7 linked regions of the Macaca mulatta genome follow. The protein of the gene in region 1 interacts with the protein of each later gene in a pairwise test. Links are inferred from orthologs where the notes say so. Each region holds a gene or a part of one and is shown in the gene's direction. Other genes may lie near its edges.

Region 1 (4,258 bases):
TTCATGACATCTATTTCTTTTTCTGTATTCCCAATGTTCCTTTCTTCTGATGATGGTGCACCACAGAAATTGTCACGGGTGATTAGCGACTATCTGGGGCTGGCGGCATGGGGGTAAAAAGAATTTATCAACATAGTTGTAGGTAAAGAAAGGCAGATTTATTAGAGAAAGTATGAAAATACGTTGCAAGGAAGCAATGGGCAGCACAGCAGAGAAGGGGCTGTCTGCAAGGAGGAAAAGGTGTGCTGGAGATTTTACAGCATGGTGCTTGTGCTGTGTGCTGAAGAGGGTTTGTGCAGTACTGATAACACAAAGGTTGCAGTGAGCTAAGTTGCATTTTTCTATCAGCTGAAAGTCTGGTGATAGCTGGGTGCAGAAATATTGTGCAGGAGGGTTATGTGTCCTGGACCATGATGAAGAAGATGAATCTTATAGCGTATCTGCTTTCTTTCTTTTTTTTATTTTTTATTTTTTATTTTTATTTTTTTGCTTTCCTCTGGTCCTGCCAGCCTGACTTCTCTTCCCTAAGGAGGACTCCACAGAAATGAATTCTGGGTGATTTCCATATTCTACGATGGAGACTATAGCTATAGATCATTATTATACAACACTACCTAATTAATCAAGAACAAAACAAATAGTCCTACCCTGCAGGACACTAACTAGTAACCAATACTTTACAATTAGAAATTAGTTCCAGACAAAAGGAAATATTTCTTATTTTACCTGCAGTTACATGACTGCGCTTTAGCTAACTGGAACCTGTGATGGACAACCAAAACGTGGGTTTTCTTCAAAGATACTTTTCTTTTGACTCATTAGGTTACTGTGAAAAGATAATTTTCTTTCAGAGATTTGTAATTTTTCAGAAGTGTTTTTGAATCCTTGAACTCATATTTGTTGCAGAGCAGCGTCAATATACCATGAGACACTCTAAGAACTTTTTGCATAAGTGTTGATGTGTAAAGAGAATCACTAAATTCAAACCTAACTCTGCCCAGGGAGTAATAAATCCTCAGAGACTATTTTAACTCACTTACATATGTTCTTCTGGTTTGGTTTCTATTATCAGCTACCCAGGAAGTAGCCCTCAGGATTAGGGGAAAAAATAAGTTTATTCTGGATCAAAAAATTTTTAACTTTTTCAGATTACTGTGTTTTCTTTTCCTATAATGTTCTCAAAAATTCTACAGGCAATTTTCTCTATGCACCTTTGAAAATGAAATAAACATAACGACTAAAACCAAGCAAAGTGAAACAGATTATGCTTCATAATGGAGCTGAAATCCAAGACAGAATCCAAAAAAGTTACACATCTCAAGTTCCTATCTGTCAGATTTGGCACCAGAGATTTCATCCAGTGGAATCACTGATTTGGAACCTAAATAAAATTTTATTTTGCAAGTTCCAGCATTATTAATTTTCATGAAATTCAGGCCTTCATAAATAAATAAATAGGAGAAAACAGGCTGTACATCTCAGAAGAAAAGACTCCTGTGGGTTCCTTGTCCCTACTCTGAAGTATAATCATTGAGGAATTCCCAAGGGACTAAAAGGTTATAACTTACAATTTATATTTCACTCTCATTAGAAATACACGTAAAATAGTATAACTTATCTAATAACAAGAAATGAGAAATGGGGAGAAGGCAAGTTTCAGAAAATCAAAGATCATAATTCCAGCTCTAACCAATTTATATTTTAGCCTGCAGAAAAACAAGTTATTCCTATCAGTTACGTAAAGTGACTTTTCCATTTGTACGCAGGTAGACATGTTTGTATACACACACACAAACACACACACACACATTAAGTCTAATATATAGCTCACTCCTCCAGTCTTGTCAGCACATACTCTGAGAACACAAAAAGCATTGAAAGATTGCTAATCACACTGACCATTTTTATGGTGTGGCACAAACAAATAAATGTCATTTTATGAGCTGTAATACTAATTTTAAAAGGGGACCCAAGCAATCAATGCACAGAATCAAAATCTGTGGACATGTTATTTTCCTGATTTGTAATGAGTTGTATCTATAATTATTGATTGGCCAAATTTTCTCTTTCTTTTCTTATTCTGTCAAAAGGACAATGTTTCCTATGACAATTTTCTGAAATAAGTGTTTTGTCTGGCACATGGAAATGGTGTAGGTCCTGCTTCGGTAACCTAAAGTTATCCCTCTTTTATGAGGCATAAAACTCTTCCTCAGTAAATAAACAACTCTAATGAGATGTTTGTATGAAAACTGGCACCATCAGTGATAAAGAAAACATCCGGTGCAGTCTGTAAACACCCATTTTGGGGCGTTATAAAACTCTCAGGAGGGAAGGAGAGTTTTGGAGTCAAGGCAACTGAAGTTTTGCAGCCAGCCTCTGTCTTTGCTTCTGGAAGGATGACTTCTGACTGTTCCTCCACACACTGCTCTCCTGAATCCTGTACCACGGCCTCCGGTTGTGCACCTGCCTCAAGCTGTTGCATAGAAACAGCTTGTCTCCCCGGTGCCTGTGCTACATCCCGATGTCAGACTCCAAGCTTCCTATCCAGGTCTCGCGGGCTGACCGGTTGCCTCCTGCCATGCTACTTTACTGGGAGTTGTAACAGTCCCTGCTTGGTGGGGAACTGTGCCTGGTGTGAGGATGGGGTGTTCACTAGCAATGAGAAGGAGACGATGCAGTTCCTGAATGACAGACTTGCCAACTATCTGGAGAAGGTGCGCAGCCTGGAGGAGACCAACGCAGAGCTGGAATCCAGGATCCAAGAACAATGTGAACAGGATATCCCAATGGTGTGCCCGGATTATCAGTGTTACTTCAACACCATTGAAGATCTCCAACAAAAGGTGTGTGTCCTGTTGCCCTAGTGCTCCACCTTCCGGATCTATGACTTGCTTTATCTTTCTACCAGAGGGACGGTTTTCCAGAAGGCAACCAAGGGAAAGGGGAATTCCAGGATTAATGGTACATAGGGGAGACCACTGGACTGAAAGTCAGAAAACCTCAGCACCAGCGCCAGAACTACCCCTGATAACTGAGTGACTATAATAAAGTAACTCGCCCTTAGGCTTTTCCTTCATCATCTATAGAATGCAGAAAAACTGTATTACATCCAAAATCGCTTTTGTATTTGACACTGAACATTTATATTATCTGAACACAAATCGTCAAATGCCATCTTTTTAACCACCTAGTAATCATTTGCTTGTCTCCTTGATGAATTTCTATTATTATGGGAGAGGATAGAGTCATAATACAAACTACTGATGGAGAAAACGTTAATGGTGTTCAACTGCCTAGGGATGTTGCAAAGTGTCTTATGTTATTAAAAAACTAAACCTTTTTATTTCTCTATTTTGCTTCTAAATTGGCACTGCTTTTTTCTTCATGAAGCGACAAGGTCAATAAGAAAAGCAGGCTGAGGGTGATTTTATACTTTCTTATAAAGACTTTCAAAAGATAACTAATGGCATAGCTGTTGGATAGAAGTTTATTTAGGTTTCTCTCAAAGAATCATTTGTCACATAATGGCTTGCTTCCCAGATCTTATGCACGAAAGCAGAGAATTCTAGACTTGCTGTACAGCTTGACAACTGCAAACTGGCCACTGATGACTTTAAGTCAAAGTAAGTTTAATTTAATTTAATTTAATTTAATTTAATTTACTTATTTTGAGGAGTTTCACTCTTGTCGCCCAGGCTAGAGTGCAATGGCACTATCTCGGCTCACTGCAACCTCTGCTTCCTGGGTTCAAGCGATTCTCCTGCCTCAGCCTCCTGAGTAGCCGGGATTACAGGCAGGCGTGCGCCGCCACCCGCACCCAGCTAATTTTTGTATTTTCAGTAGAGATGGGGTTTCACCATGTGGATCAGGCTGGTCTTGAACTCCTGACCTCAGGTGATCCACCTGCCTCGGCCTCCCAAAGTGCTGGGATTACAGGCATGAGCCACCACACCCCGCCTTAATTTTAATTTGAAAATAATTTATGGCTCGCTCTCTCTCTCTCTCTTAATCTCTCTCTCTCTCACACACACACCCACCCACAAATATTCTCTATATAATATTTTAAAGTCAAGAATGTTTTAAAAGCTTGAATTTATCATTACTTAGGAATTAAGAGAAATTATGCATGTGGCTTCCTGAAGTCCATGTGTCGATCCTCCACGTATCCCCACACTTTGCACAGCGTTCAGCAAAGTAAGCATTGGATTTCTCTTTTGCCGTGAAAGGTACGAGAGTGAACTGTCCTTTCGCCAGCTAT
Region 2 (4,374 bases), on another chromosome or scaffold:
CAGCAGGATGGTTGGTGGCTATTTGGAGGTACAGTTGAGGACTGTTGGAGAGTGGTTTAAGGTGCAGTTTGGGTCAGTGGAGTGTGGGTTAGAGGTGTAGAGGGTGCTGGAGGGTGGCTTGAAATGCAGTTGAAAGACCACAGAGGCCGGGCGCGGTGGCTCAAGCCTGTAATCCCAGCACTTTGGGAGGCCGAGACGGGTGGATCACGAGGTCAGGAGATCGAGACCATCCTGGCTAACACGGTGAAACCCCGTCTCTACTAAAAATACAAGAAAATTAGCCGGGCGAGGTGGCGGCGCCTGTAGTCCCAGCTACTCGGGAGGCTGAGGCAGGAGAATGGCGTGAACCCGGGAGGCGGAGCTTGCAGTGAGCCGAGATCGCGCCACTGCACTCCAGCCTGGGCGACAGAGCGAGACTCCGTCTCAAAAAAAAAAAAAAAAAAAAAAAAGACCACAGAAAGTGTAGTTGGGTTACATGGCACAGTGATAGGGGCTGTTGGAAGGTAATTTTGTGGGGATATGAGGGGAGGTCAATGAAAGGTGGCTGGCTCAGAGGGGTCCATGGAACATGGTTTGGAGGTAATGTGGGTGACTGTTGGAATTATTTTGTGGTGCAGGTGAGGCCCACGTTCAGGGTAATTAGGAATGTTTGGACTGGTGTTGGGGTCTCCTGGAGAGCCATTTTGAGTCAATGGAATATGGCTTGGAGGGTTCATGGAGAGGGGTTTGGGGTCAATGGAGGGTGTTACGGGTGCGCATTGGAAGTAGATAGCAGGTGATTTGGACATTATGTTTGGAGGGTAATGGTTTCAGGGCTGATTGCAGATGGTTTGGTGGAGCAAACTGGGGGTAGTGTAAGGTAGTTTACTGCTACAGCTTGGGTGTCCATAGAGGGTGGACTGGAGGTACCGCTTGGAATCAACAGACAGTAGTTTGGGGATATAATTTGGAGGATAATGGAGGTTGGTTTGGAGTGCATTTGAGGGACAATAGGGAGGGTAGCTGGGGTTTAGAGGTGTGGGGATAACTTACAGAGAGCAGCTTGGAGTACTGCTTGCGGGTCCCTAGGGGACGACTTGGGGTGAGGGGCGCCAGTAGGCTCCCTGAGGGGGCGTGGCCTCGGCGAGGGAGGGCTCCACCGCCCTCGAGAAAGAGTGTGCGCACGCGCTCCCAGCTTGTTCGCTCCTGGCGCTCCCGGAGCAAGAAAAATCCAAGACCCGAGCCGGCGCCTGCGCACTTCGTCTCCGCCGCTGCTGTGGTCTCGCGCCCCGCCCCCTGGTCCCCCCACCCCCTAGGCTCGGCTGAGCGGCGGAGGTGGCCGTGCCGCTGGAAGCCGACAGACCCGAGTTAGAGGTGGGGGCGGGGGTCCGTCGCCCGCGGCCGGGCCGGCACTCCCCTCCCACCCTCCCCGCGACCCCCGTTTGGTCCCCACGGCTAACGGTCGCGCAGCCAAACACGGCCCACGGGCAGGGCGCGGAAGGGGAGCAGACGCGCGCCCGGGGACGAGCAGGGCGCAGTGAGGGAGGGGCGCGCCCACTACCCTGGCCGGCCGACACCGACCCCGCCTACCGCTGCGCTGGGACCCTTGGTGAGTAACCAGCCCCGCCTGCGGAGGAAGGGAGGGGACAGGGTGGGGTGAAGGCCTGGAAACGCCGACGGGGCGTACCTGCGCGCGCACCCGCGACCTCTGACCCCGTGGCCTCAGCCCTGACCCCTTCCGACCTGACTACATCTTTTTTAAACCTCAACCCCTGTTGGCCTTGGCCTCAGTACCTTACGTCAGAGCCCTGACCTAACCATATTCTGGCCTGGTATGATCCTCAACCCCTGTTTTGTTCCCCCTAAATCCAGTCCTGACCCTAGACCCCATTCAGTTCTGTCCTGGGGATCTTTGACCTGACCCTGATCTTTGCCCGACCCCGTCTCATCTCTGAAACATCTTGCCCTATCCTAATGCCCAACACTGACCCCGGTTTCTGTCCTGACCCTTGACTTGTCTGTTCCCTAAACTCTTATCCAGTCTCTGAACCTCTACCAGTCATGTCCTGTCCCCCTAACCCCAATCTGGTCTAGTTCTGTCCTGATTCCTGCCCTCTAACTTCTGTCCTTTCTCTGCACCCTATATGATATCCTCTCCTATATATTCGTGATCTGCATCCTGGCTCACCACCTTTAAATACCCCCCGTCTCCTGCCTTGTCCCTGCCCCTGACTCTGTCCTGTTTTTCCCTCTTTTCTATCACCATACTCATTCCTATCCTCATTGTGTCCTGGTCTTTTCCTGTTCCTGACCTCCATCCTGAACCTGCCCTTTTCCCTGTCCCCTCATTTGACCACTGGCTTAGCCTTTCCTAGTCATGTCTGCCCTGCTGTTTTGTCTCTTTCTTGTACTTTTTCTCTGACCCTTGTCCTGAACCCTACCTTATCCCATCCCCTGGCCAGTGTCCTGGCTCATTCCCCATCCTGCCTCTTGACCTCCATCCTGCAATAACACTGGTTCTATCTTGTCCCCTACGCTCCTTCTTGTTCTGTCCCTTCCCATCCCAGCCCCAGGCTGTTCTCCCCCTTACCATGCCCCTCCACCCTGTTCAGATCTTCTTCTTTCCTAATATCCACTTGCCATCCCTTCTGAGCCCAGGACAGGGGTCCCATTATACTGTGCCCGGAACTTGAAGATTCTGCTGTTACCAGGACCTCTGAAGTACGTCCCAAATGCTTCTCTTAGCAAGAGCAAGCAGCCCTATGCACCCTGCGTGGCTGATGGGGGTTTTTGTGTGTGATCTCCCCTACCCCCACCCTAGTGATCTCACATAGAGCTTACATTTCTCTTCCTGCCCCAGGAGGGCATGCAACTGTTCTACGCTGCTGCCCTCTGCAAGTGTGAAAGAATACCCTAAATTATTCAGTGACTCTCTGGGAGTCTGAGAGGTCTGGGTCATGTTTCCAGCCTTGCTGTGTTGGGGACTGCCTCACGTTGTGGGGAAGAGTTGAGAAAATATGAAGAGATGGGGGATGCTGGGGTATGTATGAATCTTCTAGGCCATGTTACCCCTATTCCCTGGTCTTGATTCTGGGTGCATGATCCCTGTTTTCCTGGCCTGAAAGAGAAGAAGTCTATTCTAGGCCAAGGCTTCAGGACTTGGTATAGAGGAGGGATGGGGTCAAGGATTCATCCTCCTCCTCTCAGCAGTAAGCAATAAAAATCTTGGTGCTAAGTCCACCCCACCTCTGTGGGGCTTGTCTGTGGGAGAGAAGGCCAGGCAGTCACTGGATGTAAGAATCAGGCCTGTCCAGTAGTAACAGTAACAACAATAATGCAGGGTTCCCCTCATTGTCCGAATCTCCTTGATTCTGAGGGTGATGGGGAGAACTTGGATGGCTAGAGGGTAATGTGTTACTCAATTAGGTTTCGTTCCTGCATTTCTCACAGAGACTAGTGAGTTTGAATAACAAGATGCCAGACCTATCTTATTTATCCTGAATATCTATCCAAACCTATTGATAACAACACAAGCATTCCTCACTGTCCCAATCTATTTGGTACCTGAATTCTGAGAGGGAGAGCGCCCGAAGTTCAGACAGTGAAACCTACCAAGTTATCTGAAGGTATTTTGTTTTCACATCTTACATAGTGAGTGGGGAAAATTGAGATAATGAAGAATAATGACTTTAACTCAAAAATATATCCAAATCTATGAACTTTCCTGAGCTCCAGGGACAAGAGTTGGGATAGTGAGGGTACCCTGTTATGTAAAGGTTCCTGCATTTTGCCTGGAGAGTAACGAAAGTTCAAGAATGAGGGATACCAGTCGTATCTCAAAAATGTTTCTAAATCCATTCAGTTCTTGCATTTGTATGGTGAGAGTTCAGACAGTTTCTCTGAATGTATTTGGTTCCTGCATTTTTTATGTTGAGAAAGGACAGGTTGAATCATGAGGGAAAACAGCTCTGTTTCAAATATGTCTCATTTGGTGAGCAGGAAGGGTACCGTGTCTAGTTAGCAAGTAGGATTTGGAAGCTGAGGGATACTAGTTCTGTCTCAAAAATGGATCTGAGGCTGGGGGCAGTGGCTCACGCCTGTAATCCCAGCACTTTGGGAGGCTGAGGCTGGTGGATCACAAGGTCAGGAGTTCGAGCCTAGCCTGGCCAAGATGGTGAAACCCCACCTCTACTAAAAATACAAAAATTAGCCGGGTGTGGTGGCAGGCTCCTGTAATCCCAGCTACACGCGAGGCTACAGCAGGGAACTGCTTGAACCCGGGAGATGGAGGTTGCAGTGAGCCGAGATCATGCCATTACACTCCAGCCTGACAGGGCGAGACTCCGTCTCAAAAAAAAAAAAAAAATTGCGTTTGAATACATTTAGTCTCTGATT
Region 3 (4,141 bases), on another chromosome or scaffold:
GACATTATTACCTAACTTACGCTGCTAGAAAACAGAAAATAACTGCAGGTAAAACGAAATAATTTTTTGTCACTCCAGTTCAGCTGTGATACTGCCTATGTATCTTAATGACTCTCAGTGTAAGGCAGAAAGGGGTAATGAGAGTCATGAATAAAGAAAGAAAACTCAGCAAAACTTAAATTCAGCCTTATCACTGTGGATCAGACATGATTTTTTTTCTGGACAGAATCTGTTCCCAGAGCAAAAAATGAGATTTTTCGAGGAAATGTCTCCATTAGCCTAACTCTAGGGCTCTTTTCCTGGGGCCCACCGTTGCTGGCTGTGACAGCACCCTTCACCTTGCAGTGATGTTGGTAAATAGTGTATTTACGTATTTTCAGAATAAAACTTCTAGAGCTTACACCAGATTTTCCAACGGGTTTGTGGCACCAAAACGATAAAAAGCTGTAAATGGGTCAGGCGCGGTGGCTCATGCCTGTAATCCCAGCACTTTGGGAGTCTGAGGCTGGCAGATCACCTGAGGTCGGGAGTTCGAGACCAGCCTGACCAACATGGAGAAACCCCATTTCTACTGAAAATGCAAAGTTAGCCGGGCGTGGTGGTGCAACCCTGTAATCCCAGCTACTCGGGAGGCTGAGGAGTCACTCGAACTCGGGAGGCGGAGGTCGCGGTGAGCCGGGATCGTGTTTGCACTCCAGACTGGGCAGCAAGAGAGAAACTCCATCTCAAAAAAAAAAAAAAAAAAAAAAAAGGCGGCTGTAAACGATCCACCTCCATGTCACCTGCTGTGTACATTGCCTCTGTAACCCTTAGAATAATCATATGAAGTAGGTACTAGTATCCCATTTCACAGATGAGAAAACTGAAGCTTAGAAAAATGAATTCATTTGTCCCCGTCTGGATTCGAACCCAGATCTGACACCAAAGCTCACGCTGAGGGGACTTAAGGAAATGGTTTGTTCAGTCCCCTAGGCACGGCAATCAGAAAACTCTCTGCACTTGCGGTGGCGGTCTGGGGAGCCCCAGGTGGGGACTGGCCTCTGCCCCCCTCGCCTGGGGAGGAGACAAGGTGGGAGTGGTCCCCAAGCTTTGCGTGAAGTGGGGTGGGGTGGCGTATCCCAGCCTACGGGGCACCAGCCTTCTAGTGTGCCCCTGCCCAACGGGAGGGAGGAGGGAGCGGGGAGCCCCGGGGAGGGAGGAGAGGGCGGGCCCTGAGAGGAGTTTGAAAAGAGGAAGGAAGTGGGGCCCTGCGGCGCCCAGCTACCCCCTGCCGGCTTCCCCACGGGAGGAGGCGAGGCCCCGGCTCAGTCATGGCCCCCTGGCGTAAAGCTGACAAGGAGCGGCACGGCGTGGGTAGGTGCGGGCTCCAGGGCGCGGCAGGGAGCGGGACAGGTGGCGGGAGAGGCGCGAGCAGGAGGATGCTGCGGGGCTGACCGCGCGGGGTGGGCAGGGCGCGCCGCCTGCAGGTCAGAGGGCGTAGCCTGCCGCGGGGCCCCGGGGCGGAAAAGCCGAGGCTCGGGGAGAGGACGGCGGGACCCCACCCCGCGCGCTAAGCACAGCCCTCGCCCTCTCGCCTGCCGAGGGAACCTGAGGCATTTCCGAGATAGGGTCAAGACTTGAGCTTGACGACTCAGCTCTTCTCGCCAGACTCATCGTCCCCAGGAGTGCCCCAACTCGCCGCATGGGAGACTTGGCCTTATAGAGGGAGCTCCACTCTCCTCAGGCTCAGCCTTGGCCTGCCCACCATGCATACTTCCACCCCCTCCAAAGCGACACCCATCTGCCTGCTTCCCCTGTCTGTTCCTTCTGGGTCAGGTGACTCCCGATTTGGCAGGGCATCCAGAGGGCAGCTCAAGCTTGGGGGATGGGGCTGGACGGTGGGGTTCTCTACTCAGCCCCTAAGAGCCTCTGGGGAAAAAGGCTCCCGTCAGGTGGTCTGAGGGTAACCCAGAAGCTAGCTTTGTCAGCCTCAGCCATCTAAACTCCCAGAGGCCTCTGCCTGGAGCTCAGGGGCGGAAGTGGTGGCTGGGGGAAGGGAGGCCTCAGGTGCTACTACTCTCTCTGAGTGGCATCTGTGGTGCAATCTTCATGGACTCACTGTGGTTTTCAAACTTCAATATCAATTAAAAAGTCACTCTGGAGCTTCCTACACAGGCAGATACCAGACACCATCTCAGAAACAAAGATTTAGCAGGTGAGGCATTGGAAGACCCAAGCGCCCAGAGGGATTCGATGCAGGGGGTCCCCAGGCCGCTGTTCGGGAAACACTGCCCTGGAGAGATCAGTAGTTATCCACTCAATTACTGGGCACCGGGCATGGGGTGGGGGGCATTTTGATATGAATGGTTCCCATCCAGAGAACACATAATAATTCTTATCCTCAACGGGCAGTTACAAAGTAAGGAAGGATACAGCTTCTGCCCTTGAGGAGTTATGTGGAAGGCTAGAGGCTTAGACTGGGAAGTCAGAACTGAGTTGAAATCAGGGTCTGTTTCCTCATCTATAAAGTGGGAATGTTAATAATAATGCAGGTTTCATGAGACTCTTGTAAGGATTGAATGGGGTTATGCATGGAAAGCATTTAGTAGTGTGCTGGCTCAATGAGAATTAGAGATTGAGGTCAAGGGGCTTACCTAGCAGCTTCAGAACCAAGAGACACCAGCACCAAGATGCACCCTAATGCCAGATTCAGGACAGTCATGCCTTATGAGACTGTAGTGTTTCATGGTTTGCAAGACCAAATGTCATGCAGTCTGTGTCTGACTTCAGAACCCGCATGTGAGGCAGTGTATTATTCCCACTTTACAGATGCAGTAACCAAGTTAACATCACTTGGAAGCAATGAAGCTGGGCCTTAAATTCAATTGTCTTCAGACCCTAGGTCATGGCACCAGAAAAGCATCTAGAAGGGAAACATCATGGGTAAAGGCAGGGAGCTGGCATCCCTGCAGTGTGTGGGTCAAACAATAAATATTCTGCTTTGGTTTTAGTATTGCTTTTAGTGTTAAAAAAATTGCAGAGGTAGATTATGGCTAGATTGTGAAGGGCTCTGAGTGCCAAGCTTCGAAGTTTGGATTTCCTTCTGTGAGCACTGGAGGTTTTGAGCAGTGTCATCTGGAAGAAGTTAAATAGTTAATTAGGACAGGAGTGGGGATTGGACTTAGAATAGAAGGAAAATGGGTAACAGTTTTACCTGTCTACTTTCTGCCTGGTTAATCTAGCAGGAGGTCACTTATAATCAACATTTCCTGTTAACTTTTACTAGGTTAATCCACTCTGCCTGAGGCTCTTGTCAGTGAAGAGAGCTTTCTCCTTTCAGGAGAGAGGAAAGGGTAGAAAAGGAGGAGGTAGAAAGAGAAACTAACAGTATCAGTTAGGGTTAAGTGTGACTAAGGGTGACAGTAAACTTGCAAAATTGTGGCCTAACTAAACTGCAAGTTTATTTATGTCTTGCATAGAAAGCTCAGAAATGGTCTGTGAAGAGGTGGTAAGGTGGCTCATTCTGTATCTCACACTGTATCTATCCTTGGCATGTGACTTCTGCCTTCTGAGCCACACAAGCTGCTTAAGCTTCGGTTATCAGGTCCACCTTCCAGCCAGCAAAAAGGATGCAGGAAAAAGAAGGTCATGACTTTTCCGTTTAAAGACATTTACCTGAAGGCACACTTGACATTTCTTCTTACCTCCTATTGGCTAAAATGTAATCACATGACTGACTATAGCTGCAAGGGAAGCTAGAAAATGTAGTCTGTAATGTAGGCAGCCATGTACCCAGCTAAAAATTAGGAGTTCTCTTCATAACTAAGGAGAGGAGGAAGAATATTGAGGATGATGTATTAGTTTGCTAGGACTGCCATAGCAAAATACCACAGACTGGGTGGTTTAAACAACAGAAATGTATTTTCTCACAGTTCTCGAGGCTGGAAGTCCAAGATCAAAGTACCAGCAGTGTTGGCTTGTCTTGTGGCCTGTCTCCATGGTTTGCAGATGGCTGTCTTGCTGCCTCTTCATTGCTTTCTGTGCAGGCACACCCTTGCTGCTTCTTCCTCCTGTCATGAGGACACCAGTCATATTGGATTAGCATCCCACCCTAAAGGACTCATTTTAACTTAATCACCCCTTTATCTCTGAATATGCACTT
Region 4 (3,709 bases), on another chromosome or scaffold:
TCATCTGAGAAGCAAGATGGTGAGGTCTCATGTATCCACATGAGGGCTTGCTTTCTGGGGACTGCTGTCCATCCCTGAACCAAATGGGCTCTCTTTTCCCAGGACTGGCCCTTGCCCCACAGATGATCATGGGCCCACAGTAAAGTGTGGACATGTGTGAACACAGGTATTGCTTGTTTATTCAATGGAGGTGTGGCCGTGGATCCCTAAGTTGTCTTTGGAGGTGGTGAATACAGGCCGTCTCATCCTTCTCATGCACTGAATGTGCCCTACTGTACCCTGAGGAGGGGGCAGGGAGAGGCAAATGCCTGATCCAGCCGCTTGTCTCCACAGGCGACCACCCCTACGAGTGTGAGTTCTGTGGCAGCTGCTTCCGGGATGAGAGCACACTCAAGAGCCACAAACGCATCCACACGGGTGAGAAACCCTATGAGTGCAATGGCTGTGGCAAGAAGTTCAGCCTCAAGCATCAGCTGGAGACGCACTATAGGGTGCACACAGGTACTGAAGGCCAGGGAGGGGTCTGAGCTGGCTCTGGGACCTGGGTGGAGGTGGGAAGCAGATGGTCTCCTGGAGAAGCCTAAGTGAGGATGATCCCAGGCTGAATCAAAGAGTAGAAGAGGTTCTATTAAGGGCTGGTATGATGACCTGAGGGCCACCACACCCCAGTCAAGGTGGCCTGAGGGCCACCAGTCAAGGCCAAGGCAGACATTACTAATCAATCCCAGCACACTTTCCAATGAGCCCCCACCAGCTCTCCAGGCAGTTATACCAATAGTTCAGAGGTGACATGCAAAATGATGTCTGTATATGAGTCCTAAATTAGGGGTAAGTTGGTCCAGTTAGCTGGAAGCGAAGGTTAGGTCCAGTTAACATGAAGCGAATTTCATGTTACTCAAGGGTTACAGTAAGAATTAGGATGCATTGAATCAGGTTATGATGGAAGTTGGGAAATTGTAAAGTTAGATTGTGTTTGGTTCTGAGATTAGAAGAGCAGATATATTTAATAATCCCTATATGCATATGATGTTTTACCATTTCAGAGTGCCTTCACATTTTTTTTTTTTAGACAGAGTTTCGCTCTTGTTGCCCAGGCTGGAGTGCAGTGGCATGATCTCAGCTCACTGCAATCTCTGCCTCCTGGGTTCAAGCAGTTCTCCTGCCTCAGCCTCCCGATTACCTGGGATTACAGGCGTGTGCCACCATGCCCGGCTAATTTTGTATTTTTTTTTTAGCAGAGACGGGTTTGCCATGTTGGTCAATCTGGTCTCGAACTCCTGACCTCAAGTGATTCACCCGTCTCGGCCTCCAAAGTGCTGGGATTACAGGCATGAGCCACCATGCCCGGCCACATTATTGTTTGTATTGGAAAAAGAAATGTGGGCCACTGCTTTTCCTGAGGTCAGAAGACAAAAGAAGTGAAGGGTCTTCCACAGTGTCCGAGGTTGGGGGCAGTGGAGTATTGGAGCTTGCTTGTGAAAGCTAATTTTTCACATTTCTTCACAACTTCAAGTTCAGCGACATCACCTTAGTTGCTTAAAATTGGCCCTGGTAGGAGTATTCACATCATAGCAATCAGCAGATGCTACAAACCAGGGCTTTTTAGAAAGCCAGTTGTTAAACATTTACCACCAGCACATTGCTGGTTGTGGGGAAGGCTGATTTACAGAAGGGTAAGAGGTGGTGGCACATGGAAAACAAAGAAACCCCTCTGATCGGGGGGGACAGCTGTCCTGTCCAGAGGAAGGGGGAGAGGTGGCTTCAGGCAGGTCCTGCTGGCTTAGAGGAGAGTACATTGCCTTTGGAGGGGAAGGGTGGACAGAAGGAGCAGTAAGCAGAGCTACGTGTTGTCAGAGCTCAGTTTTCGTGCCCCAGTTTGAGCCCCCAAGGACAGGGTTGGGTGTCCATTGCTGACACCTATAGTGACCCAGAGGATTTCCCAGAGCCCTGGGGTTTCCTTAGCCCCTTGTCGGGGATGTGACCTGGCAGGTGGATCATTAACTGTATTGGCAGTGACTATTGTAAATAGCTGGTCGATGGTTAGATCACTTTGGCTGTTCATTACTTCATTATTTGCTGGGGCCTGTGCACGGAGGAGTATTGATAGCGAGATGGCTGGCCAGTTAATTACTGTATTGAAACAAGGTTCCCTCACATCCTCTGCTCAGCTCTAGGGGACTCTATGGAAGGAAAGTTGGGGTATAGAAGGCTAGGGTGTGGCTGTGTACTCCCAGGTTCTTTATCCTTCCCATCCCACCCCACCCCCAATTCTAGCCTCAGGAGGGAGGCAGGGTCCAGGGCAAAGTCTTAGCAGTTTTAGCAGGATAGGCCGGGTGCGGTGGCTCATGCCTATAATCCCAGGACTTTGGGAGGCCGAGGCAGGCAGATCACTTGAAGTCAGGAGTTCAAGCCCAGCCTAGCCAACATGGTGAAACCCTGTCTCTACTAAAAATACAAAAATTAGCCAGGCATGGTGGCAGCACCTGTGATCCCAGCTACTTGGGAGGCTGAGGCAGGAGAATCACTTGAACCCAGGAGGCAGAGGTTGCAGTGAGCTGAGATCGTACCACTGCATTCCAGCCTGGGCAACACAGTGAGACACCATCTCAAAAAAAAAAAGGCTTTAGCTGGATAGAGGTTCCCAGGTGCGGCATATTTGAAGGACTGGGTTCCCTCAGTTTTCCCCCACCCCTGCTCCCCACCATCTGTAGCCCTGAAAGGTCTCGATCCACCTGCTCCCTGGATGGAACTGCGGCTCGAAGAGCCATTCCTGAGGACCGTGGGGCCTTTCTCTTTCTAGACACTCATTTTCTTAATTAGAAAGGGAAAAGACTGTGGCCTTAGGAGAGTTAAGAATAGTAAGACAAGGAACTGGGCAATCCAGTAGTCAACTAGCTACATGTAGCTATTTAAATTAGTTACAATGAAATAAAATCAGAAAACTGTAGAGCTCCAGTCGCACCAGCCTCGTTCATAGCCATGTGTGACTGGTGGCTGCCGTCTTGGGTGGTGCCTTCATTGTCCCAGAAAGTTCTGTTGGAACAAGCCCAGCAGGAGGAACCCAGCTTCCCTGGCACACCTGAGGGTGACATGGTGCCCTCACCGCCCTCTGTCCTCACTTTCTCCTGCCCTGTCCCTCTGCCCTCAGGTGAGAAGCCCTTTGAGTGTAAGCTGTGCCACCAGCGCTCCCGGGACTACTCGGCCATGATCAAGCACCTGAGAACGCACAACGGCGCCTCGCCCTACCAGTGCACCATCTGCACAGAGTACTGCCCCAGCCTCTCCTCCATGCAGAAGCACATGAAGGGCCACAAGCCCGAGGAGATCCCGCCCGACTGGAGGATAGAGAAGACGTACCTCTACCTGTGCTACGTGTGAAGGGAGGCCCGCGGCGGTGGAGCCGAGCGGGGAGCCAGGAAAGAAGAGTTGGATCGAGATGAAGGAAGGACTATGAAAAATAAAAAAGGAAAAGAAAAAAAAAAAAGAGAAGGAAAAGGAAACCTGATAGCTTTTTGGCCTTGGATTCTCTCTGGGCTCCAGATGACCTGGATGCCAAGCCACTGCCCCTCCTCTGGGGGCCTCCACCCTCCTCTCCCGGCTGGAGGTTTGCCTGATTTTCTGGGATGGGGTGGGGTATTTTGTTCACTCAAATGGTGGCACATTTTTCTCCTGCCTTCACCCAGATCTTCCTTTATGTGTCCAGAAATGG
Region 5 (4,194 bases), on another chromosome or scaffold:
CCGCCTCGGCCTCCCAAAGTGCTGGGATTACAGGCGTGAACCACCTCGCCCGGCCAATAAACACCTGACTTAATACGGCAGTGCCAGACAGAATACAAGGAGAGAGAAGAAAAAACAAACAAACAAACAAAAAAAACAAGAAAGATGGAAAAATTAATCAGAACTTGGGACCAGAATTTGAGGGGTAAAGGAGTCAAGAAAACCAGTGACAGAACTAGGCATGTCAGGAAGGGGATCTAGTTTTAAAGGATGGCTATGATAACTAAAAGCTGGGTATTAACGCCTTTATTTCCAATATGATCTTAACTGCATTAAGTTTACTTGAACATGACCTTTACCTAGGTAAGAAGGGATGCAAATCCTCTAGATTTCCAATAATTCTCTAATCATCTAAAAATGTTTCTTCCTAGATGTTGCCAGCACACATTCTGTGTTCTTTCGGCACACGAACGCGAGGGGGAGGAGGGCGTTAGCAGAAAAGACGCTGACAGGTAAGGGGTCAGAGGGATAATCCTGTTCTGCCGCAAATGCAGCACGTTCCTCAGTCTTGGGGCGTCCATCAAGCGGAGAGCTGGAAGATGACTGAAAGTAACGGAGTAGAGGTGGAACTAGAACAAGGTCACGAGCTGCTGCCCAACTCGTGTAACTCCTGGTTCCAGGCTGTCCCTCTAGGATGCTGCTGGCGCCAGCCAAGGGAGCAGGACAGAGTCTGGGTAAAGGTCGCCAGCTGACAAGATGGTAGCTAGGAGACCTCTAGGTGCGCCAAAACTAAGGCGTCTTTTCCTGGACGGGCAGAACGCCCTGCTCAAAGATCATTACATCACCACGCCCAAGAACTGATACTTTAGCAGGGCAACGCGCCAACAAGGCGACTCCGCCCCACCCTCCCCGTTCCTCCAGCACACGCAAGCGCACAGAGGCCCGCGGGTGACATCACCCCTCCCGACACCACCTCGTTGTCGTACGACCAAAGGCCTGTCGTAACGGCCGGGCAAGAAAGGCCTCGAGAGGAAGGGCACGCACGCCGCACACCCTAACATGCTCGCCTGCATGCGCGCGCAGGTCCTTTGCGCAGGCATTGGGACTAGAGCCAATGAGGTGCGGCGACGTTACTGCGTAGCCGCCAGCTCGGCCGCACGTCAGGGCGCGGGAGCGCGGAGCGAGTTTGGTTGCACTTACACCGGTACTTAAGCGCGAACCGGCGTGTCCTTGGACTTAGAGAGTGGGGACGTCCTGCTTTGGAGCGGGAATATTCGTTGCGCCAGCGACTAAAAACAGGTGAGAGCGGGTCGCGGAAGCCGCACCTGGTTAGAGGCAGAGCTGTGGGCGGCGCGCACTCGCGAGCGACCGAGACCCAGGCGTGGAGCCTCCGAGTGGAGCCCGCGCTGCGTGGGAGGGCCGGGAGTGAGGACCCGGGACTGTGGTCAGACCGAACCGGGCGAGTAACCGCTTGAGGTGCGGCGGCCCTAACTAGGGACAGGTATGGTCTCAGTCAGGGACTAGAGGAGGCTTAGATACAGATCCGAGGAAGACGCGGCCCCTTTCGTAGTGGTTGCTGAGGGGCTATGGAAATGATAGGCAAGACTTCCCACCCGGAAAGCCGAAGCTTAGCACTTCACGTTCTCCTTCAGAGGGCAAAAGCTGTTGCTCTTCTAATAAGGGGCCATTTCTTTACGTGGGCACGTTTCTTCCGTCAGTCGTTCTGACATCCTAGAAACAGTTTCATCAGTCACCTTGAAACCGACCTGGATGGGTGACCTCATGTTCGCCCCGGGGGATCACAGGTAGGAGAGTGGGGATGTCCTGCGGGGACCGTGCAGCCTGCCCCTGCGTTCCCATTTACAAGTTCGAGTGTCAGGCTACTTCTGTGACCTGGGCAGGTAGAAACAGCCAGTACCGCTTTTTAAATATTTGTGTGCTTTGCAATATCCTCAGGAAGAGGTAGCTTTACATGGTAGTAAGATTAAATGACTAGGCCTTCTTAAAAATTGAAATTGTGGTGATTTTGGCTTAATGTGATCGCCCTTCAGCGTCAGATCTGTGGCTTAGTGACCATGATTTTCTCTTCTGAAACTGGAGTTTGAATTAGGTTCCCTCTTTGCTTGCTTGGGCTTTAACGTTCCTTCACGTGTACACACGAAAATAGGTTTTTGAGGAGGTGCTCCTAAAAAATGTTTTTGGTATTAAAGAGTATTTGGTATAAAGAGTATTAAAGCAATACAAGATTAATTCTGGTATTTAATGACATAAATTACCAATGGATTGGTAATTAAGTGGCTAGAGTGGTCATTCATTTACACTGTATTTGTTACCTGAGGAAAAATTACTAAGTTGGGGCTTTCGTTTTTAGAATTAAATATGGGTGATGTTGAGAAAGGCAAGAAGATTTTTATTATGAAGTGTTCCCAGTGCCACACCGTTGAAAAGGGAGGCAAGCACAAGACTGGGCCAAATCTCCATGGTCTCTTCGGGCGGAAGACAGGTCAGGCCCCTGGATACTCTTACACAGCCGCCAATAAGAACAAAGGTAAGAGCCACTTGTTAAATAAAACAGTACAAAACGCACGAATATCACCTGTGACACACTATGAGGAGTGTGAAATACTTAACCGATGCATTCTTTCTTGTTTAGGCATCACCTGGGGAGAGGATACACTGATGGAGTATTTGGAGAATCCCAAGAAGTACATCCCTGGAACAAAAATGATCTTTGTCGGCATTAAGAAGAAGGAAGAAAGGGCAGACTTGATAGCTTATCTCAAAAAAGCTACTAATGAGTAATAATTGGCCACTGCCTTATTTATTACAAAACAAATGTCTCATGACTTTTTTATGTGTACCATACTTTAATAGATCTCATACACCAGAATTCAGATCATGAATGACTGACAGAATATTTTGTTGGGCAGTCCTGATTTAAAACTAAGACTGGCTTGTGGTTAAATGAATATGTTCCGTTTTTGAATTTTAATAGTAATTCCAATTCAGTAAATGCTATCACTGTTTACCCCTTCTAAAGATATGATTAGACTTTGTTAGTAATGTTCAACTTTTCGCAAAGATGGTGAGTGCCATCTTAAAACTTACTGGAGATTGGTTTTATATTTAGATTTATATAGCTGGTTATGTGAATATATTTAAATACTGGGGAAATTCCTTCACTGTCTCAGAACTAAGCAAGATTCACCTGTGTTTTGTGTTCATTTGCCTCTTAAAGGCAAGGGTTGAAGATAAATAAGGTAGCAATGTCTAGAGTTTTGGCCTTAACGATGCCAATCTAATTATAATTCCCTGTATTTAAAATGGTTCCTTTTACTTATTGAAGAGCATTTTAGTATGGTTTATGTGTAATATTAAAGATTATTCAACACTTCTCACATCTTACAAATCTATAAGGTCACATGCTTTTAAAATAGTAGCAAGTTAAACTTCACTCTTGAATTCTTTACAATCTAAGTCAAACTAAGTTATAATTTAGGATTGTCTTTAAACAGCCATTCAGAAACATAAAACTGTAGAACTGTGTATTTGTGATTGGGAATGGTGCTTTTGCCAACTTAAAAGGATTAAAGTAGCGGAGATATACACAAATTTTAAAATGTGTGATCGCAAGACTAAAGATAATTAAAAAGAAAACCACAGATCATGATTTTTTGACTGTGCTTGATTTCATGACTGATGCAGAAACTTTAATGATTAAAAAGTGCAGGAGCCCTAAATATCAGTGCAGCAGCATTAACCAGTCATGGTGCTAGATTGTTTACTTGGTTTTCTAGGACTGCCTGAACTAGAATAACACTTCACTAATTGACTCTTAGTTTCTTTGCCCAGATTGAGAACTGCAGCATTTATGCCAGACATGGACAGACAAATGCTTCTGGTCATAGTTTTCTGATGTGTAACAGTGTAATTACATACTGAATTATTTCATGCGTAGTCTGTGCCATACACATTTAGAATAGTCCTTGGAGATTTTATGGAGATGGTGAGCACAAGGTAAGACATAAAGAATGATGAGAAAATAAATCTGTGCTGGCGAGCTGAGAGCTGTATCTTTGTGGGACAGTGAGAAGACTGGGAAGATGTAAATCCATAGTCTCAAAGGTGATAGGGATGATTAGATAGGTGTTTAAGGCCTGAAAGCAATTTATAACATGTGAGTCTTATTTTTATTTGTAGAAGAAATGTGGAAAG
Region 6 (4,171 bases), about 57 Mb from region 1:
GGCTGAGGCTGGTGGATTGCCTAAGGTCAGGAGTTCGAGACCAGTTTGGCCAACATAGTGAAACCCCATCTCTACTAAAAATACAAAAAATTAGCTGGGCGTGGTGGCGGGCGCCTGTAATCCCAGCTACTCGGGAGTCTGAGGTGGGAGAATCGCTTGAACCCGGGAGGCGGAGGTTGCAGTGAGCCGAGATCGTCAGGCTGCACTCCAACGTGGGCAACAAGAGCGAAATTCTGTCTCAAAAACAAACAAACAAATGCCACCAATATACGAATTTGGGCATTACATTTCCAACATGTGAAATTTGAGGGACACATTCAAACCACAGCAGAGGGTCAAATCAGTTAATAAACTGCAACACCAGTACCTGTGCATACTAAGGGCCATATACACGTTAATCATTATCATCATCCTTTCGTTGGAAATCACTGAGGCCAAAGGAGTGGGTGAGACCGCCCAGAAACGAAGAGGGCTGAAGACAGTCTTTCAAGAAGTCAGCATCTCAGGCTCTTGTGCCGGAGAGGAAACAAAGAAACCAGCCAGGGGACTGGGCAGCACAGCTCTGAGGTCACCGAAAGGAGAAGGATGAACTTCTATAATGGCTGATTGTGTTTGGATGCTAAGGAGAGGAGAGGCAGGCATTCCGCTGAGAGAGGGAGGGATGCGTGGGGCAAGGCGGGGACGGGGAGCTGGTGTAGGCGGGAGGAGGGCAGACGAGTACTCTGGTCTATCCCCGCTTCCAGGACGCATCTTCTGGGAGGGGGGCGCGGAGCATGGATGGCGAGTATGGGGAACTCAGAGAGGGACAGTGTCTTGTCACAGGAAGGGAGGGTCAGGAGGGAAATTTGAAAGGAAACGTCTCTGGGAACCCAGGGCTCCGCACTGCCAGGCCCTGGCTCCTTCGGACAAAACCACTGAGCAAGAAAGAAAAGCCAGACCCCTTGGCAGGATGGACAGGGTCCCTGCCCACTGCGGGGTCTGAGGCCTGAGGCCTGAGCCAGGAGGCCTAGATCCCAGGACCTCCGCCTCCACCCCATGGATCAGAGCAGCCTCAACCCCGTGCGCGCTCCAGGGAGGGGACCCGGCGTGCGATGCGCGGGGGCTGGGCGGGCAAGGGCGGTGGCCCGGGCGGGACGCATAACACAAAGCCCGGAGCCACGAGGCTGGCGGCAGGGAGGGGGCCGGAGAGATGAATGGGGACGGCCGGGCCAATCCGAGCGCAGCATTTACAGCTGCGACAGAGAAAGCCAATCGGATCCCTGGGGCGGGGACGGGGGCGGGGACAGAACCAATCAGCTGTGAGGACGGGGCCTGGGGCGGAGCCGCGCAGAGTTTCAAACCGGCTGTGGTGGGCGAGGAGCAGCTGTGCTGGGCGTGTGATCCGCGTTGGTGCTGTCGGGTGAGTGCGGGCGGGGCACAACAAATTTCGTTCTTGTTCCCCAGGCTGGGTGCAATGGCGCGATCTCGGCTCAAAACAATTTTTTTTGTTCAGAGGGGAGGGCATTGGGTTCGGACACGCACGGCCTGTGGAGGCGTCTGGGTACTACAAGCGTCGGATCAAAATCAGGGCGTCTGGTGGGAAGGCCGGGATCTGCGTGGGGGCGCGTTTGGTCTGGGCGAGCTGGTGAAGGAGATGGTGATCGTGTCCTGGGCCCAGCGCTGAAGCTCGGCTACGGCGTGTCTTGACCCCGCCTCCCCTCCACGCCTGAGCCAGAGAGAGGAAGGAGGTTGGGATGAAAAGACAGCTGTTTTGGAAACTTGAAGTGCGGGACAGCAGAAATGCTGCTGACCCGAGACCTCTCTTCCAGGAAGCATCCTCCTTCCCGCACCCACACTTGCCAACTCGCCCGCTCCCCGCTCGCCCTCGCCACCCCGCTGCATCCCATCTCTTCCCCTGTGTCCAGGGTCTCTGTGGGGCCTGGAAATGGGGATGGGGAATGCCTTGCTGACCTGCTTTTTTGCCCTCCTCCCCAGGGTCTAGTGGACAGAGAAGACTCTTGGCCAGACAAATGGCTTCTCGGTGGCAGAGCATGGGGACCTCTGTGCGCCGGAGATCTCTCCGGCACCAGGAGCAGCTGGAGGACAGCAAGGAGCTGCAGCCTGTGGCCAGCCATCAGGAGACCTCTGCAGGGGCCCTGGGGTCTCTGTGCAGGCAGTTCCAAAGGAGGCTGCCCCTGAGAGCCGTCAACCTCAACCTCTGCACAGGCCCCTCCTGGAAACGCCTGGAAACCCCAGAGCCAGGTCAGCAGGGCCTCCAGGCTGCAGCTCGCTCAGCTAAGAGCGCTTTGGGTGCCATGTCCCAGGTAATAGTGACAATACTAATCATCTTTTTTATGGAGTGTTTCCTTGGTGCCAGACAGTTCCTGCCCTCAAAGAGTCTCAAGAATATAGACTCCAAGAAGACAGGGATTTTGGTTAGTTCACTGCTGTTTCCCCCGCACCCCAAATAGTTCCTGGCACATATAGGCACTCAACAAATAGTTGAATGAGTTAGTGAAAACATGTCTTGGAGGAAACAGATGCTCACAATACCAGGTGATAAGAGCTGTACGTGATAGGAAATTGCAAGCAAGTGGCCAATAGCGAGGGCTCGCCAAACACAAACTTAGCCGGTGAAGGCTTCCCAGAGGAGATGATTCCAGAGTTCACCCAGGGAAGCAAAGGTCAAGGGGTATTTAGGGTAGGAGAAATAGTGCAAGTCCAGAGCCCCTCAGGTCCAAGCCTAGAGCTGAGGGAAAGCAAGGTGTACTGCCAACTCAGCCGTGTACCCCTGAGGAGAGCCAGAATTGTAGTCTGGGTATGAGCAGAGGACAGAGAGCAAGGTAGAGCCGGGAGAAAGGACATGAAGGAGCTTAGACTCTCCCAGGAATGATCAGGAGTCTGGAGGATTCTAAACAGTGGAAAGTCTGGTCTCATTAGCATATTAGAATTTGTCCTTTATCTACGTGATGGAGAACGGAATAGAAGCAGAGGTGCTCCTGAAGGAGACTAAGGATCTGGACTTGCAGAGGATAAACTTCAGGAGCTGCTGAGAAGGTCAGTTAGAGGGGATTTGCTGTCAAATGAGAGGTGCTGGCAGGAAGATGTCCTTATATTGGATGTAAGCGTCTATGGGCCCTTCAACCGATGCATCTTTAAACCCAGAGCTGGAGGTGTAGACGTGTCACTTAGAAAGGACAGAAGCCATTAGGATGAACAGACCTCCAGAGAGAGGACTGGGGGCTGCAGAGGTTTCTCCTCGGTGTCTCATTGGGAATTCTGAAGACGAGAGAATTCTCCAGAAAGAGAGTGGCTCTTTCTGGACCCTCTGCAGAGAGTTCTCTGAGCCAAATGTTAGTCTTTATTTGGAAGAACTTTTTGATTGTTTTCGCCACCCTCAGGGATCAGAGAAATGAAATGAATTTGTCCAAGGTCACGTAACTCATCAGATTTAACCTGGGCTGGGCTCCAACCCCTGGGCTCTGGCTTGCCAAGGCAAAGACAGTCGAGCTGATGAAGAAGAGCCTTCACAGCCGTCACCCAGCTGGTGTGAAAGGCCCAGGAGTTGGGGCTTGGTCCTATGTGCAACAAGAAGCCATAGAAGGGTTTCGAGCAGTTGAGTGTCACAGTCAGAACTGCCCTTTAGAAGGATCACTATGGACCACTGTAGAGGGTGGATAGAGTGAGTGAGACCCGAGGCAGGAAGACAGGCGCTCTCCTGGTGTGCAGGGGGTGCTGGGCGGGGGAGCCTGCTCTACTCTGGGCCCTCTCCTTCAGTCCTGGGGTCAATCTGTGTCTGGAAAGAGAGTTTGGACTTAGACAAACAGGCTCCAGGCACCAGGGGGATCCTCCTGCTGCTGACTGCTGCTGTCATATCCAGGAGCTCTGAGCTGGGTCCCTGCCGTGGACTCATTCTACGAGGAGTCAGTCACATCCTTCACCCTGGAGACTAAAACAGCCTGTATTTACAGGACACTTGGTGGGTCTAGGGATCGCTGGTAGGGTCTGGAGACCAGGGTAGTTTACCCTTGGGTTTTTTGTTGTTGCTTGTTTGTTTGCGAGACAGGGTCTCACTCAGTCGCCCAGGCTGGAGTTCAGTGGCACGATCTCGGCTCACTGCAACCTCCACCTCCCGGGTTCAAGTGATTCTCATGCCTCAGTCACCCAAGTAGCTGGAACTACAGGCACCTGC
Region 7 (4,166 bases), on another chromosome or scaffold:
TGGTGTATGCCTATAGCCCCAGCTACTCAGGAGGCTGAGGCATGAAGCTCGCTTGAGCCTAGGAGGTCGAGGCTGCAGGTGAGTCGTGATCACGCGCCACTGCACTCCAGCCTGGGAAACAGAGCAAGACCCTGTCTCAAAAATAAATATTTAGGCCAGGCGCGGTGGCTCACACTTGTAATCCCAGCACTTTGGGAGGCCGAGACGGTTGGATCTCAAGAGTTCGAGACCAGCCTGGCCAACATGGTGAAACCCCATCTCTACTAAAACTACAAAAATTAGCCTTGGGTAAGTGGCAGGGGCCTGCAATCCCAGCTACCCGGGTGGCCGAGACAGGAGAATCGCTTGAGCCCAGGAGGTGGAGGTTGCAGTAAGCTGAGATCGCCCTATTGCAATTCAGCCTGGGCTATAAGAATGAAACTCCGTCGCAAACAAAAACAAAAACAAAAACAAACTAAATTTAAAGTGCAATTTCTTCTCGTTTTTCCAGTTTTACGAAAAACCCCAAAGGAGGGCAGCTAAGGTGGATACTGATGCCTACCACGCACCCTAAGAGTAGGTAAAGGGAAAAAAATGAAATCCACGTGGGACTGCGAGTAGTTCGCCGTTTCCCGACGACGCACACAATGCGCTTAGGTATACTTCGCGCAGAGGTCTCTGCAGAGAGGAAAGCCACCGTGAGAAGAGCGGGGAGCCCCCAGGCAAGAGGGCAGTGGCTTGTGTGTAGTGAACTGAAATGCGACACCACGGAACTGCAACAGGAGTCTCCTTTCCACTTGAAATGTGACTCAAAGCGAGGCACCTACCCTTGGCGCTCCCTGGACAGTGCGGCACGGTCGGGCCCACTAACCAAGGCAATTTGCGCCCGACCGAATCAGGTGCTCCAAAATCCCCCCTGGTGAGCCGCGCGTTAGCCACACAGAAAACAGTCAACGCAGAAGGAGCGAGAACGCTCGGCCGAGAAGCCTGGCCCAGAGAGGGGAGGGGTGCGGAAAGCCGCGGACGGCAGCCGCTGGCCTGCAGGACTCCCTCAGGCCGCCCCACCCCGCCCCGCCAGGGACAGCGCAGAGCCGAGCGGCTGGACCCCAATCCTGCCGGCCGCCGCCGAGCTCCGCAGCCCGCAGCCCCACACCCACTGCTCCGCCACACCCCAACCGTTCAACTTGGCCCGTACACGCCCGGCGTCCCCGGCTCCCAGGCCGGTGCCGATGACGTCACACCTACGCTAGGCGTGACGCCACGGCTGGGAGGAGCGAGGACGGCGCCAGAGGGCGTTTCCGGAGCACGCGTCGGGCGGGGGCCGGTGACGTCGGGCTCAGGTGCGCGCGCCCGCCCGCGCGGCCCAGTTGGCGGCCCGCACTCCAGGTGGCGGCCGTTGTCGGTGAGGGGACGGCTGGCGTTGAGCGGTCCCGACGGCGTTGGGGTCTGCAGCCAGGGGCGCGGCGGGAGGGCGTCTGGGCCTGCGCTCACGTGACGGGTGGGGAGGTTGGTGTAGGGGCGGCGAACCGGGTGGGTCCGGGCTCAGGAGCGCGAGGCTGACTGTCCGGCCCCACCCCTTGCGGGCCAACCCGTCGCCGCGCGGAAGGAACCTTCCCTCGGGCAGGGGCCGGCCCCGCCGCGCACTTCCCGCGCCCGCTCGCCGCTGACCGGAGTTGTCTCTTCCTCCGCAGGGCCGCGGCCAGAGGGCGAGAGTCCGCGCCTTCCGAGGGAGCCGCGCCCTGCGGGCCCCACCGTACCCAAGGGGATGGAGGGCTGCCCCCGAGGCCCCCGCGCGGCTCGCGGTCCCACGCCTGCCGGCCCGCGCTAGCTGCTCGACTCGTGCGCGTTATCCGCCACCCAGGCCTTGTCTCCCGAGTCAGTGGCGTCGTGGTTCGAAAGAAATGGAAGAAAAGGAGCGATGTGACCGATGCTGTTCGGTCCTCCTGCTTTGAGGCCTGGCATTTGCAGAGGGAAACAGCAAGAAAATCGTGGGGAGTTTTGAGGGGGGTGGGAGGGAAGGGTGGGGAAACGGAAACAAGGTCTTACATTTTATGGGTTTTTTTTTTTTTTTTTTAATTCTGCAATTTGACAGTGGTAGCAAAATGAAAGTAATCCAAAAGTTATTTTTCTCTTGAGAAGAGAAAAGAGGTGGGTTTTTTTTTTCCTTTTGATTCCAGTCTTTTCTCCCAGTGACAAAGCATAAATCATGGACACCAGAGAATAAGGTGAACCTCAGGAACCCGGAAAAGACTGAGAAGGTTACATTCTTCTTCTGGAGGGAAGAGTAGGGTGTTTATAGCCATCTCTGGAACCTAAAACAAAAAACATGAGTTGTGTGCCATGGAAAGGAGACAAGGCCAAATCTGAATCATTGGAGCTGCCCCAGGCAGCACCCCCACAAATCTACCATGAGAAACAGCGCAGGGAGCTTTGTGCCCTCCACGCCCTCAATAACGTCTTCCAGGACAGCAATGCCTTCACCCGGGATACGCTGCAAGAGATTTTCCAGAGGTAGGGGACCCTTCTCCTTGGCATCTTGATACTTACTGATATTTTTGGATTTCTGTGGGTGGGATAATGTCTCAAGTTTCATAAACCTTTAAATCTATAGGTATTAGCTAGATGTCATTAGCAGGTATCAGGGACACAAGACAGGAAAAGATAATCACTACTATGTATCGGGCACTCACTGTGGGCTAGGAAAGTGCTCATATTCTCGGCTGTGTTTTCTCGAGTGATCTGCTCAACAATCCCATGGAATACGTGTTAATACGTGGTGTTATTTCCATTTTACTGATGAAGACACATTTAGTTCCGTACTTTGCTCAAGGTAACAAGACTTGGAGCTGGGGTTGAATTCTTACATCTATGCTGTTGACCACTATGCTAAATGCCTCTAAAGTTCTGCTGCCGAGGAGTTTACAGTCTAGAAGTGGGACCCGATACGTACACGTTCAGTCGCCTGTCATCAAAGGTGGAATGTGGTGACTACCACAAGCAAGAGGTATACACAATGCTCAGCTTTTCTGTGAGCCATGTGCTGGCAGTGGCGCTGTTCGTACATTGCTTTGTGTAGCCCTCCTAACAGTCATTTCACTGCCTGTATTTTACTGATAGAAAGGTCAGGTAATATGTCCAAATAGCTTCTAAATAGCAAAGTTATAATTTGAAGTTGACTCCAGATCGCCTCTTTCTCCTTTATTCTAGATGGCCTTTCTTATCCATTTAGAACAAATGCCACCCCACGGGTTAGTAGAGGTTCAGCTTTTGGCCAAGCACGGTATAATCCCAGCACTTTAGGAGGCTGAGGAGGGCGGATCACCTGAGTTCAGGAGTTTGAGACCAGCCTGGCCAACATGGTGAAACCTCGTCTCTACTAAAAATACAAAAATTAAGTCGGGTGTGGTGGTGCACACTTGTCCCAGCTAGTCGGGAGGCTGAGGCAGGAGAATCGTGTGAACTCGGGAAGTGGAGGTTGCAGTTAGCCGAGATTGTGCCACTGCACTCCAGCCTGGGTGACAGGTCTCAGAAAAAAAAAAAAAAAAAAAAAACTCAGCTTTTTTCTCTTTGCTTTGATTTTCTAGAATTACTTTAAAGGTTTTGAGAGTCAGTTCTGTGGTGTCTTGATGGACACAACAGCATATCTGCAGTCCATAGCAACTCAGATGGTGATCTTGCCTGATGACCCCAACTAGAAAGGGTTAGGCCCACACAGTCCTCACTGAAGAGGAGCTCAAGCGTTCTTCAAGCAGTACATATTGACAATTCCAGAAGACCTTTTTCTTACTCTCTTAGCTTGGAAATGAAATTATTGCCACATAGGGACCAGAATTACAGCTGGTAGCAACCTATTTGGGGTGATTTGTAAAACACAGGTATGGACCATTTGTCCTGAAAGAGCCAGAGGCTTACTCTTAGAAGAATGTTAATCCCCAGATGCAGACAAAACTATAATGAGAGTAATTATTTTCCAATGCCAGTAGTAACCAGAGTAATGCCTTACCAGGGTAAATATGTTATTTGCATCATGGCCATTATCTGGCAGCAAGTAGAATTGACTCTTCAGGACCTGGGGCACTGGGAGGTAAGATAATTTGTCTCAGATCATCAGGTCATGTCACTGAAAGGAGAACCCAGTACATTGGACTGCTTCCTTTTGGCCAGCCGTTAGTATTTCTCCTACTCCT

Evidence for each region.
Region 2: the proteins of KRT40 (region 1) and CCDC120 interact in binary tests that used the Homo sapiens proteins (3 or more experiments, as listed by UniProt). The link is inferred for Macaca mulatta from reciprocal best matches to the Homo sapiens genes KRT40 and CCDC120.
Region 3: the proteins of KRT40 (region 1) and DOCK2 interact in binary tests that used the Homo sapiens proteins (3 or more experiments, as listed by UniProt). The two-hybrid records come from large-scale screens. The link is inferred for Macaca mulatta from reciprocal best matches to the Homo sapiens genes KRT40 and DOCK2.
Region 4: the proteins of KRT40 (region 1) and ZBTB16 interact in binary tests that used the Homo sapiens proteins (3 or more experiments, as listed by UniProt). The two-hybrid records come from large-scale screens. The link is inferred for Macaca mulatta from reciprocal best matches to the Homo sapiens genes KRT40 and ZBTB16.
Region 5: the proteins of KRT40 (region 1) and CYCS interact in binary tests that used the Homo sapiens proteins (3 or more experiments, as listed by UniProt). The two-hybrid records come from large-scale screens. The link is inferred for Macaca mulatta from reciprocal best matches to the Homo sapiens genes KRT40 and CYCS.
Region 6: the proteins of KRT40 (region 1) and PIMREG interact in binary tests that used the Homo sapiens proteins (3 or more experiments, as listed by UniProt). The two-hybrid records come from large-scale screens. The link is inferred for Macaca mulatta from reciprocal best matches to the Homo sapiens genes KRT40 and PIMREG.
Region 7: the proteins of KRT40 (region 1) and JOSD1 interact in binary tests that used the Homo sapiens proteins (3 or more experiments, as listed by UniProt). The two-hybrid records come from large-scale screens. The link is inferred for Macaca mulatta from reciprocal best matches to the Homo sapiens genes KRT40 and JOSD1.

The regions. Positions count from the first base shown.
Region 1 is NC_133421.1:65,365,485-65,369,742, reverse strand, and holds the start of KRT40 (keratin, type I cytoskeletal 40), read left to right. Parts: upstream 1-1,372; 5' UTR 1,373-2,396; coding exon 2,397-2,843; intron 2,844-3,540; coding exon 3,541-3,623; intron 3,624-4,226; coding exon 4,227-4,258. UniProt on the Homo sapiens protein: May play a role in late hair differentiation.
Region 2 is NC_133426.1:49,132,238-49,136,611, forward strand, and holds the start of CCDC120 (coiled-coil domain-containing protein 120), read left to right. Parts: upstream 1-1,448; 5' UTR 1,449-1,588; intron 1,589-4,374. UniProt on the Homo sapiens protein: Centriolar protein required for centriole subdistal appendage assembly and microtubule anchoring in interphase cells. Together with CCDC68, cooperate with subdistal appendage components ODF2, NIN and CEP170 for hierarchical subdistal appendage assembly.
Region 3 is NC_133411.1:178,525,922-178,530,062, forward strand, and holds the start of DOCK2 (dedicator of cytokinesis protein 2), read left to right. Parts: upstream 1-1,249; 5' UTR 1,250-1,310; coding exon 1,311-1,353; intron 1,354-4,141. UniProt on the Homo sapiens protein: Involved in cytoskeletal rearrangements required for lymphocyte migration in response of chemokines. Activates RAC1 and RAC2, but not CDC42, by functioning as a guanine nucleotide exchange factor (GEF), which exchanges bound GDP for free GTP.
Region 4 is NC_133419.1:114,996,890-115,000,598, forward strand, and holds the end of ZBTB16 (zinc finger and BTB domain-containing protein 16), read left to right. Parts: intron 1-333; coding exon 334-501; intron 502-3,148; coding exon 3,149-3,378; 3' UTR 3,379-3,447; downstream 3,448-3,709. UniProt on the Homo sapiens protein: Acts as a transcriptional repressor. Transcriptional repression may be mediated through recruitment of histone deacetylases to target promoters. May play a role in myeloid maturation and in the development and/or maintenance of other differentiated tissues.
Region 5 is NC_133408.1:103,268,142-103,272,335, forward strand, and holds CYCS (cytochrome c), read left to right. Parts: upstream 1-1,217; 5' UTR 1,218-1,480; intron 1,481-2,350; 5' UTR 2,351-2,358; coding exon 2,359-2,527; intron 2,528-2,632; coding exon 2,633-2,781; 3' UTR 2,782-3,649; downstream 3,650-4,194. UniProt on the Homo sapiens protein: Electron carrier protein. The oxidized form of the cytochrome c heme group can accept an electron from the heme group of the cytochrome c1 subunit of cytochrome reductase.
Region 6 is NC_133421.1:7,925,260-7,929,430, forward strand, and holds the start of PIMREG (protein PIMREG), read left to right. Parts: upstream 1-1,315; 5' UTR 1,316-1,399; intron 1,400-1,974; 5' UTR 1,975-2,009; coding exon 2,010-2,303; intron 2,304-4,171. UniProt on the Homo sapiens protein: During mitosis, may play a role in the control of metaphase-to-anaphase transition.
Region 7 is NC_133415.1:12,822,022-12,826,187, forward strand, and holds the start of JOSD1 (josephin-1), read left to right. Parts: upstream 1-1,344; 5' UTR 1,345-1,485; exon of another isoform or gene 1,486-1,670; 5' UTR 1,671-2,305; coding exon 2,306-2,490; exon of another isoform or gene 2,491-3,075; intron 3,076-3,479; exon of another isoform or gene 3,480-4,166.